Rattus norvegicus: one gene and its partners. The protein of the gene in region 3 purifies or fractionates together with the protein of the main gene of each other region. This does not show direct contact. Links are inferred from orthologs where the notes say so. Each region holds a gene or a part of one and is shown on either strand. Other genes may lie near its edges.

Evidence for each region.
Region 1: the proteins of Cebpb (region 3) and Atf3 purify together in Homo sapiens (affinity purification with western blotting; 3 studies listed by BioGRID and IntAct, with this or other methods). This does not show direct contact. The link is inferred for Rattus norvegicus from reciprocal best matches to the Homo sapiens genes CEBPB and ATF3.
Region 2: the proteins of Cebpb (region 3) and Atf2 purify together in Homo sapiens (affinity purification with western blotting; 3 studies listed by BioGRID and IntAct, with this or other methods). This does not show direct contact. The link is inferred for Rattus norvegicus from reciprocal best matches to the Homo sapiens genes CEBPB and ATF2.

The regions. Positions count from the first base shown.
Region 1 is NC_086031.1:105,281,811-105,285,764, forward strand, and holds the end of Atf3 (cyclic AMP-dependent transcription factor ATF-3), read right to left. Parts: intron 3,439-3,954; coding exon 3,331-3,438; intron 2,013-3,330; coding exon 1,815-2,012; 3' UTR 627-1,814; downstream 1-626.
Region 2 is NC_086021.1:79,199,945-79,204,068, forward strand, and holds the start of Atf2 (cyclic AMP-dependent transcription factor ATF-2), read right to left. Parts: upstream 2,802-4,124; 5' UTR 2,662-2,801; intron 2,530-2,661; exon of another isoform or gene 2,129-2,529; intron 1-2,128. UniProt on the Homo sapiens protein: Transcriptional activator which regulates the transcription of various genes, including those involved in anti-apoptosis, cell growth, and DNA damage response.
Region 3 is NC_086021.1:176,815,634-176,818,981, forward strand, and holds Cebpb (CCAAT/enhancer-binding protein beta), read left to right. Parts: upstream 1-1,371; 5' UTR 1,372-1,424; coding exon 1,425-2,318; 3' UTR 2,319-2,803; downstream 2,804-3,348. UniProt on the Homo sapiens protein: Important transcription factor regulating the expression of genes involved in immune and inflammatory responses. Also plays a significant role in adipogenesis, as well as in the gluconeogenic pathway, liver regeneration, and hematopoiesis.

The DNA of each region.
Region 1 (3,954 bases), on a different chromosome or scaffold from region 3:
CTACATACTGAGACCCTGACTCAAAGCAAACGAAAATCTATCTTAGCACCAAACAGGTGGCTTGAAGGACACACCTGTAGCGTTGTTTCGGGGTTTGTCAATGAGAGGCACGGAGTGGGAAGTCACCCACCTGGGCTGCAGAGCTGGCTCAGTATTTAAGAGCTCTTCTGGTCTCTGTGGGCAACTGCATTCATGTACACCACACACACACACACACACACACACACACACACACACACACACACACACACGATTATAAATAAAAATAAATGGAGGTGGTGAGATGGATCAGCAGTTAACAACAGTACTTGGTGCTCTCGGGGAAGATCTGGGTTCCGTTCCCAGCAACTACATGGTAGCTTGCAACCCCTCTGAAACCCCAGTTCCAGGGAACCCAATGCCCTCCTCTTCTGGCCTCCCCAGGCACTGCATGCACGTGGCACACAGACATACATGCAGACAAAATACCCATACACATAAAATATGAATTACTAACTGCCCTACCTAGTGGTCTCCCCATGAACGAAGGAAGCCATCCGTCCCCAAACACTCAGTGCTGACCACCCCATGACAGAAAGGCATCATCACCATTTCAACACTCAGCAGAAACCAGTGCCACGCTAAGGTTTACCAGGTCTCATTCTGATATTTTATTACGTTGACAGGCTAGGAATACTGGGATAAATAAGTAACGTTCTCTCTTACAGAAAACTGTAATATACTACTGAGTCGGATTGAACACTGAGGATTTCACAGAAACATCAGAATTTTAACAGTAGCCAGAGCCCTGGTGGCCAGTGGGAGGGACCTCCCAGCTGAAATACTCTGGACCGCATCTCAAAATAGCTTCAAGACAAAAGCGCAGTTAACATCCCACAGTGCAGACACCTTCCTTGCCCCACTCCTGGCTTCAAATACCAGTCTCCACGGGCTGTGGTTTTTGGTGGGAAGGAAGGGAAAACGGAGAATCCTTGGCTCTTCCTGCCCTGTCACTGAGTGTGGAGTCCTACGCCCTTTGAAAGCGGGACTTTGTGCCTTCGTTCTGTGACATTGTAACAGTTTGTAGCCAAGGACAGCTGCTGTGCCCGGGTTCTTCCTCAGCAGTGGGTACAGGGGAAGGAGGCATCAGTCCTCGGTCAGCACAGAGTAGCACAGCTGGTCATCAGCCAGTTTACATGGCCACCCAAACACTTTTGGGGGATATTGTCCACAGTGGCAGACCCCCAAACTCTCGGAAATCAGGTCTGATGAAACTCCCGGAAAAAAATCACGCCAATGTTGTGCAAGACAAACATCTAAATAGCACAACACCAGGCTCAGAAATGAATGCCCTATGCACAGTCAGTCTAGGACAGAACAGCATAGTTTCTAGAAAGCATACCCTGGCCATTGGACAACTTCAATGATGAATGTTCTCACTCCATCTTCCCTAGGAGGGATGTTGTCAGCCGCAGTGGAGGACGTGGTCCCACCCCACCTGTCAAGGTAGACACTTCTGCCTGCATCCCATTAGTGCGATCCTGCTTTGCATGGGACCCCAGCCTGGGGCCAGCTAGGTCATCTGAGAATGGCCGGGATGGTAAGGCCTAAATCCTGGAGCCGGTGAGACAAAGGATGCTCCTGCCTGCTCCACGGTTCACTCGGGGACAGAGTGGGACAACGCAGTAGTCACCGCAGGCCCTCCTGACCCAACAGCTCGTGGCTGCTGAGATTCTAGAAGTGCACAGGAAGCCAGTTTTCCAATGGCTTCAGGGTTTGGGGTGGAAAAGGAGGATTCAGTAAGGACTCCCCAATTGCCCCCATGCCACCTCTGCTTAGCTCTGCAATGTTCCTTCTTTTATCTGTTGGATAAAAAGGTTCCTCTCGTCTTCCGGCGTCCGCCCGTTCTGAGCCCGGACGATACACGTGGGCCGGTGCAGGTTGAGCATGTAAATCAGATGCTGCTTCTCATTCTTCAGCTCCTCGATCTGGGCCTTCAGTTCGGCATTCACACTCTCCAGTTTCTCTGACTCCTGAGGGATGATCAACAGACAGCAGCATTATGGAGGGAGCCAAGGGGCAGGGAGATGGGGGGCCACCTGGAATCCTTGGGGCTCCCCAGACTGAGACCTGCTAGCAGAACCGTCCTACCACAAGGATGGGAGGACCAAACTAGGTGGAAGGTGGAAGGTACAGGGTTTCCTGTAGAGGGCTCTGAAGTTGGGAGACGTGAAAGAAAGCTTAGGGACAGCACCGAGCCGGGCGCCCATGCTCGATGGAACTGCACCAAGGGCTCAGAGAGAGCTGCTCTAGTTCACTGCCCGTGGGGAAGGCATCTGGGCCCCACAGGATCGTGGGAGCTATCGAGGAACCCAAACGGGTGGTGTGGAGTTGTCTTTGAATTTCTGATCTCACCAAGACTCCCATGTCCACAGACGTATTCTCAGAAACACCAAAGCTGCCCAAGTTTTTTTTCACTGACCCTGAAGTAGCGAGCAGACAACCCAGGCTTTTACATCTCTTTGAGAAGCTGCCCTGCACACACTTGGGAGAGCAGACATGGCCCCTGCAAAGACTTCCAGGCTCTGTAGCTTGCCTTGCCTGTGAACCCATGCTGTACCCCTGGTGCTTGGTGTGGGGTGTCAGCCTCCCAGGGTGCTCAGTGCTGGATAAGCATGGAGTAGAGAGGAGGGTTCAGATCCAGGGAGGAGCACTGTAAGCACCACTTCAGCACCGTAACTTGAAGAGATTAATGCAAGCTTTTCCTGAGAGCCAAAGGCAGTGGCAGGGCTTTGCAGTTTGTATTTGTTAAAACTGATGAGTAAAGTCTCTTTAAATAGGCTGGTGTGACCCGCAAGTCTAGAAACTGCTGGGGATTTGTGCCACAGCATGCATGTGGAGGTCAGAGGTCACGTTTAGAAACCAGTTCTCTCCTTCCACAGCGGGTTCTGGGTGTCAAACTAGGGTGCCACATATGCATTGCAAGGACCTTTACTCATGAGCCAGCTTGCTGGCCGTGTGTGTGTGTGTGTGTGTGTGTGTGTGTGTGTGTGTATGTGTATGTATATATAAATGGATATATATATACACATATGCCTATACATGTGTGTGTATGTATGTGTACACATATACATCTCCAGAATCGCTTCCACCATGCTTTTTTTTTTTTCCTTCGGAGCTGGGGACCGAACTCAGGGCCTTGTGCTTGCTAGGCAAGCGCTCTACCACTGAGCTAAATCCCCAACACCCCCCTCCCCCCCTGCTTCCACCTTGCTAATAGCTTTGCTCTACCCTCTGCCTACAGCTGGCATTTCCCTCCCCTCAGGGGAGGTTGGGCCAGGCGGGACTCACCTTCTGCAGGCACTCTGTCTTCTCTTTTTTCTTGTTTCGACACTTGGCAGCAGCAATTTTGTTTCTTTCCCGCCGCCTCCTTTTTCTCTCATCTTCTTCAGGGGCCACCTATAAAATCCGAAAGGCACACATTTAAATACCAAGGCTGTGGGGTCTTGTGTGCTGTGGGGTCTTGTGTGTCTGTATATCTGCTGTCTGTGTATATATCTGCCACGTGCATTCATGGTGATTTCAGAGACCAGAAGTCAGTGTTGGATCATCAGCAGCTGCTGTGAGCCACCCATTGCACATGCTGGGAGCTCCAGTCCCCTGGAAGAGCGGGAAGTGCTCTTAACCACGGCGCCATCTCTCCGGCCTCGGGCCTGAGGGTTTTGTATGATCTCCCGTCACACGCATGTGCATTCACACATGTGAGTAACAAAATCTAAGTCCTGTTCAGTAAAATGGAATTATATTTGAAATTAGTAAATTAAAGTCTGCTTTAAAGACACAAGACCTGCCTTTAAAATGCATTTGCACTTTGAAACAAGAATTTGAATTTTAAATTAATAACCACTGAATTAATTAACCACTGAAGCTAGAATCAGAAATGACCACATTGCCCCTTAGCCACACTCTCCTGAG
Region 2 (4,124 bases), about 98 Mb from region 3:
ATCACTATTTCTTCAACATTATAGAGTTACATATAGGGCTAATGAGATGGTCCAGTAAGTAAAGCACTTGCCACCACGCCTGATGACCAGGGGTTCATCCTCAGAACTCATGTTGGAGAAAGGGAACATTTATTCCTCAAAGTTGTCCTTTAATCTCCATAAATATGCTATCATCCACAAGGCAGGAAGGCAGACAAGCATATATACACACACAAATGTAAAAATAAAAACAAATTACACAGAGGTTTTGAGGACGTAGACCTCAATAAAAAAGAGCATACCTTTAGTCCCAGTACTTGGGAGGTAGAGGTAGGCAGGATCTTTATGAGGTGGAGGCCAGCCTGGTTTACAAGCAAGTTCCAGTATAGCCAAACTACAGAGAGAAACTATGTCTGAAAAAAAAAAATAAATGAAAAGAGCTTTCCTAGCACGGGTAGAAAAGCAAACAAAGGACTAGGATGGCTCAACAGCTCCTGTGTTCTTGCAGGGAAGCTGGGCTAGGTTCCTAGCACCCACATGGTAGTTCATAGTAATCTGTAACTCTAGTTTTAGGGACTCAGGATTTACAATATCCTCTAAGGGCACTGCCCATAAATGGTGCACATACATATATGTAAGCAAAACACAAAAATAAGTAAACCTTAAAAAAAACAAACAGAACAAGTTGCATTTCAGGCAAAATTTCAGTCTAAAGAAATAGATGTGAATATAAGACAAAATGTTAAACTATTGATTATATAAGGACAGGTGGTTTTGTAGGTTACAAGTTAATACTGGGAGTATTATATGTAATAATTTTCATAGAGGTCAGTTGAATTATCTAATTACTTCATTGAATTCTAATCAAGGAGGATTTCAGTAAAAATTTTGCTTTAAATATGAAAGATTTATTTACTTTTCTACGGGCATTTTAATAAGAGTAATAAAAGAAATACCAGTTCACAGAAACACACACATTGGAAGAGCCTAAAGGCAAAAATGAGTGGAAACAGCAGGTAAGGTAAAGCTGTTTACTAGACCTAGCAATATAATTGATTAGGAGAGTACAGATAAATAATTAAAACTCAAGTTTTCAAGATTTTTTAAAAGTTAAAAAAAACCCTAGATTTCTTGACTTAATGTTAGTCATGATTTTAGTGGATAGTATCATTCATCTCAAAACAATACAGCTTTAAAAATTTAAATACCCATCAAAACATCTCTGCAATTACTTATTAATGATTTTTAAGACCTAGAAGTTTAATTATCACTCAACACTATCAATGGCCTTAAAGATCTATGAACTTAGTTTTCTTGACCAATTATATAGGATATGTTTTTAGAATGCTTTACAAAATAATCTCTTGGCTTTTGAAAAAAGTTTATTGCAGGGATTCTTCAAATAGGTTTAGCAAATTTAAATACAAGATTCTATTTCAGGAAGTCATCTAGAATTAACTGTTTTAAAATAAGCTTTTATAAAGTCTTACAATTTGGGTGCAAGAGACCCAGGCCATTTGGCGCTTAATGAGTAGTATTCCTGGAAAGGTTATTACTTGACAATGGCCAAGGGTTAAGAATTCCTTCAAATTGGACAAAATAAGCTTCTCAGAATAGTGGGTGTTTGGTCAGATTTCAAATATAGCATTACATGCATGTGGTGTGAACGTGTCCATAATTTATAATCCCCAAGAAACTGTGACTTCCACAAGGTAATCTAGGTATTAGTCAACAGGCCTAAGGGTCCACCATGAGTAATCCCTTTTACTCCATTATGTTGGTGGTAGTTTCACTCCACCTCCTCAGTTCTAAGAGACTCCACTAAGAAGAGACAATTTTATATTACCTATTGCATAAAAATAATGCCCATCTCCTCCAAGGTCTTGGTTCAATGAGTGAGCGCCATGGGGAGACATACACACATCCCTCCCTCCCTCTCTTCCTTGTCCCTGGGGTAATACAAGGCAGATTATTTCCCTGCAAAAGCTGTGCAGAACACCCGTCGAAGTGAATGGGGGGAAATAGCAGAATCAACCTGCACCCACACCTCAGCCCCGCCCCACCTGGAAAGGGAGGGGGGTGGCGAGAGTATGAGGGTGGCAGAAAGGACAGAAAAGGCCGAGACAACCAGCCCCCAGGTTCTCCATACCATTGGCTCCGTCATGTTCCGCCGAGGCCAGAGACCCCGGCCAGATTTTCAGTCAAGCTCCCCAATCCGTCACCGCGGATTCATCCCAAACCCCGCGGTCCACAATCGCCCGGTGCCCGGTGGGGAGCCCAGCATTGGCCCTTTGGCGGCCCGATCAAGGACCTGAGGTGGGGGTCTCCCCGTCAGATGGGCGGATCCGAAGAGCGCCCTGGGGACCTCGCAAGTGACCACACAAGAGGATAAGTCGGAGGGAGGGGTCTGAGAGGAGCCGTTATTCCTTCTCGCTCACGCTTGGGAAAGCGCGCGAGGGAGGGGCCGGAGCCCCAGCGCGTTACCTAACGGTCCGGTCGGTCCGCCAGGCCTGAGGCGGAGGCGCGGCTACAGCGGTCCGGAGGGTTGGGGTCCACAGCAGGGGCGCAAAAGGGGTGGGAGGCGGGGGGTGGGGACTACAGGCAGCGACGTCGCCATGTTAGCACCTTCTTCCTCCGTCTCCCTACAGCCTCCAAGCCTGTGGCCCTTTCACCATTACTCACCTTTCCAGGTCACTAATTCATGTTCCTTTCAGCCACCAGCGAGCCCGGAGCGCTGCCGTGTTTACAAACTAGCCCCGGAGGAAAGGGCTGAATCGCACTTTAAAGGCCACGGGCTCCCACAGGCTTCCGTCCTCTCTCGCGAGATCCGACTGACAAGCCTTCTCCCCGCCCCACTCCCGGCATCCCCGCCGCTTTCTTCTCGCGCCCCTCCCCTTCACGCACACGCCCCTTCCTGATTTCCTCCGAAGGAGCGCCTGCAGGTCAGGTGACTCCGTCCTACACCAGGAAAAGGGCGGGCCTTCGGGAGGGCGGGGGGCGGGGAGGCGGGAACCAAAGAACACTCGGACGCTAGTGATTGGGCGAAGAGCAAGAAAGGCGGGAAGAAGTTCCGAAGGGGCGTGGCCAGGGTGCCCAAGGACCGTTGTTTCCGTAACCAGGGAACTGCAGAAAGCTGTGATTGGCAGCCATAGGGAGGCGGGCACCGGAGGCGGTACCGGATCTGGGGCGCGCGCGCAGGTGGCGGTGGAGAGTACAGGAGGGCGTGGGCGGTGTGAGAGAAGAAAGGTGAGGTCGGGGGAATCTAAAGGAACCCAGCCCCGGCTGCTGGTGTCTCCTTCATCTTGGTTTCCGGCCTCTCTAGGGATATGGGGATATAAAGGGAGACGCTTCTGAACCACCCTCCGAATACCCAGAAGCCAGAGCCGGGGAGCTACGCTTAAAGGTTTTGGAGAAAGGATTTGGCAGTCATCACCCCGTGTGCGGAGTGAAGCAAAATAAGTCAGCCCTGTGTAGAAAAAAGAAACCTTTTCTCAGAGAGGTCTTTGTTTGGATTTTACGAAGCCAGAACTGGAGCTGATCTTCGCCCCCACCCTGCGTCAAGTACATGGTGTATTACAGCACATACGAGTATGTTCAAAGGCAGTGATCAGAAGGAAATACACCGTCTTCCAATCCCATGTCATATTTTAAAACAAAGCAACGATCTTTTTCCTGGAGAAAAATCCTTGGAATTATGGGATTTTCTTTTCTCAAATTTCCTTTACTTAGTTACATATAAAAATACTAATTTTAGAGACTGGAGAGATGTCTCAGCGGTTAAAAGCACTAGATGCTCTTCCAGAGGACTTGGGTTCAATCCCCAGCACCCACATGCAACCCACACTGGTCTGTAACTCCACTTCCAGGAGACCTGACAAAACACCAATGCACATAAGACCGAAATAATTTAAAAATACCAATTTCAATAGGATCGTTTCATTCTTTTAAAGCTTAAGAAATCGGTATTAATGTTTTAAAGAGGACTAAAGGGCGCCAATGAGAACAGCATTCTTCCCACAATACTTTCCTTTTACTTTGTAAATTGTAGTGCCAAAGATATGCCTGTTAATTTTACCAAGTAGGTTTCAAAAACTGGGAGAGGCAGAGGCGGGGAGGACCTAAAGAGATGGCTCAGTGGTTAGGGG
Region 3 (3,348 bases):
AGAACAGTCACCAGTGTTGGATGAGGGAAGGCCTGTCAGTGAAGCCCCAATGTCCCACTTTATAGCCAGGCCTGGCTGGGTGGCCCTGGGGATGTCACCACGCCTCTCTGGGCCCTGATCCCTTCCTGGCCCAGAGGCTGCTGGGAAGGCCAGAAAGCCGCAGGCAGGGCTAGTGTCTTATCCTTTCCCTCCCTGCCCCCCACCCCCAAGGGCACAGGGAGATGTCATTTCTCCAGCTCTTGGGGGCGGAGGTCACCCCAGCTCAGCAGATAACACCGAAGGTTGAGCAACACCCCGCCAGCTTGCCGGGGCCAGGCCTGGGGTCAATGGGTCGGGGGTCAGCCCCAGGCAGGTTGGCAGCTCCCGCTTGAGTGGCCCGGCTGGGAGTGGCAGAAGAGTGGGCCCCCAAAGTTGTCCTGGGCCTTCTCGGAAGAGTCTCACCGGGGAGAGGCTGGTGGTCCAACCTGGTGCCCATTCAAGTGCATGGAGAGTTTGTTTTTCCAGCTCTCCGGGTGACCGTTGCGTCCTTACGACTGGACTTGGGTCTGCCATGTTCCCACCGCAACCACCTGAGGAGCTGCAGCCTCCGGGGAGGGCTGTGCGGGTCTTTCTTGGGGTCCATTTGTCTCTGATACCCGGACACCACTACCGACAATACCAACACTGTCCACGGAGGAAACTCAGAGGAGCAAAGTGACTCACCCACAGACACAGTGTGGCAGAACCCCCACCCTTGCCACCTTCGCGGAGAGGCGTGGGGAGTGGAGTAGGCTGGTGCGGTGGGCGGGCCATACAAAGGGTTGAGGGTTGGGATCCGGGGACAGTAAGCATCCCCGGGGTGGGCGTGCACAGGGTGGAGAGTTCTGCTTCCAGGAGTTGGGGTCTCAGAGGCGTGGGCAGCACCTGGGTGGGCGGACATGCACCGGGTGGAAGGCTGTTTCCAGGGAGTTGGGGACCGGGGACAGCGGGCGGGATCCGACGGTTGGGGTCGTGCACCGGGTGGACTGATCTGTTTCCCAGAAGTTGGGGGCCCGGGAGAGCGGACAGGAGCCGGACCAGTCACCGCGTCCTCCAGCAGGGGGCGGGCGGCGGCAGCGCTCCTCAGTGTTCCCGAGGGGCGGGAAGGGGGCGGGCTAGCGTCACCCGCGTCCGTGGCGATCGCGGGGCTGGCGGGGCGCCCAGGACACCGCTCAGTATCCCGCGCGCGGACCCCCGCCGCTCCCCACTCCCCGCCGCGCCCTCTCGCGCTCCCGCGGCCGGGCAATGACGCGCACCGACCCGGCGGCGGGGCGGCGGGAGGGGCCCCGGCGTGACGCAGCCCGTTGCCAGGCGCCGCCTTATAAACCTCCCGCTCGGCCGCCGCCGAGCCGAGTCCGAGCCGCGCACGGGACCGGGACGCAGCGGAGCCCGCGGGCCCCGCGTTCATGCACCGCCTGCTGGCCTGGGACGCAGCATGCCTCCCGCCGCCGCCCGCCGCCTTTAGACCCATGGAAGTGGCCAACTTCTACTACGAGCCCGACTGCCTGGCCTACGGGGCCAAGGCGGCCCGCGCCGCGCCGCGCGCCCCCGCCGCCGAGCCGGCCATCGGCGAGCACGAGCGCGCCATCGACTTCAGCCCCTACCTGGAGCCGCTCGCGCCCGCCGCCGCGGACTTCGCCGCGCCCGCGCCCGCGCACCACGACTTCCTTTCCGACCTCTTCGCCGACGACTACGGCGCCAAGCCGAGCAAGAAGCCGTCCGACTACGGTTACGTGAGCCTCGGCCGCGCGGGCGCCAAGGCCGCACCGCCCGCCTGCTTCCCGCCGCCGCCTCCCGCCGCACTCAAGGCCGAGCCGGGCTTCGAACCCGCGGACTGCAAGCGCGCGGACGACGCGCCCGCCATGGCGGCCGGCTTCCCGTTCGCCCTGCGCGCCTACCTGGGCTACCAGGCGACGCCGAGCGGCAGCAGCGGCAGCCTGTCCACGTCGTCGTCGTCCAGCCCGCCCGGGACGCCGAGCCCCGCCGACGCCAAGGCCGCGCCCGCCGCCTGCTTCGCGGGGCCGCCGGCCGCGCCCGCCAAGGCCAAGGCCAAGAAGGCGGTGGACAAGCTGAGCGACGAGTACAAGATGCGGCGCGAGCGCAACAACATCGCGGTGCGCAAGAGCCGCGACAAGGCCAAGATGCGCAACCTGGAGACGCAGCACAAGGTGCTGGAGCTGACGGCGGAGAACGAGCGGCTGCAGAAGAAGGTGGAGCAGCTGTCGCGAGAGCTCAGCACGCTGCGGAACTTGTTCAAGCAGCTGCCCGAGCCGCTGCTGGCCTCGGCGGGTCACTGCTAGCCCGGCGGGGGTGGCGTGGGGGCGCCGCGGCCACCCTGGGCACCGTGCGCCCTGCCCCGCGCGCTCCGTCCCCGCGCGCGCCCGGGGCACCGTGCGTGCACCGCGCGCACCTGCACCTGCACCGAGGGGACACCGTGGGCACCGCGCGCACGCACCTGCACCGCGCACCGGGTTTCGGGACTTGATGCAATCCGGATCAAACGTGGCTGAGCGCGTGTGGACACGGGACTGACGCAACACACGTGTAACTGTCAGCCGGGCCCTGAGTAATCACTTAAAGATGTTCCTGCGGGGTTGTTGCTGTTGATGTTTTTGTTTTTGTTTTTTGTTTTTTGTTTTTTTTTTGGTCTTATTATTTTTTTGTATTATATAAAAAAGTTCTATTTCTATGAGAAAAGAGGCGTATGTATATTTTGAGAACCTTTTCCGTTTCGAGCATTAAAGTGAAGACATTTTAATAAACTTTTTTGGAGAATGTTTAAAAAGCCTTTTGGGGGCAGTAGTTGGCTTTTGAAAAAAAATTTTTTTTCTTCCCTCCTGACTTTGGATTTATGCGAGATTTTGTTTTTTGTGTTTCTGGTGTGTAGGGGGCTGCGGGTTATTTTTGGGTTGTGTGTGGTGGTGGGTGGGGGTGTCGCATCTGGGTTTTTCTCCTCCCCTGGCAGATGGGATGCCAGCCCCTCCCCCCAGGAGAGGGGGCAGAGTGCCGGGTCAGGAATTCAGGGTGACTCAGCACCCATGGGTGCCGGGGACCTTGCTAGAAACCCTGCTTGGGACGGGCCGCCCTCTGGGCTTGGTTTGAGTATCAGGCTTGTGTTGACTAGGCAGGCAGTGACTATGTAGGAAGGGCTAGTCCAGACAGCCGGATCAGGGAGGTGAGCACTGTGTTCAAAGTACTGTGTGTTTGGTGGTGTGTAGCGCCCCCCCCACCCCATCCCATGTCTGTTTGGTTTCTATGTCCCTGTGTAGCTGGAAGAGAGACTGGGCCAAGAGGAGGGCGAAGGGGACAGACAGTTCCTTCTCCACTTTC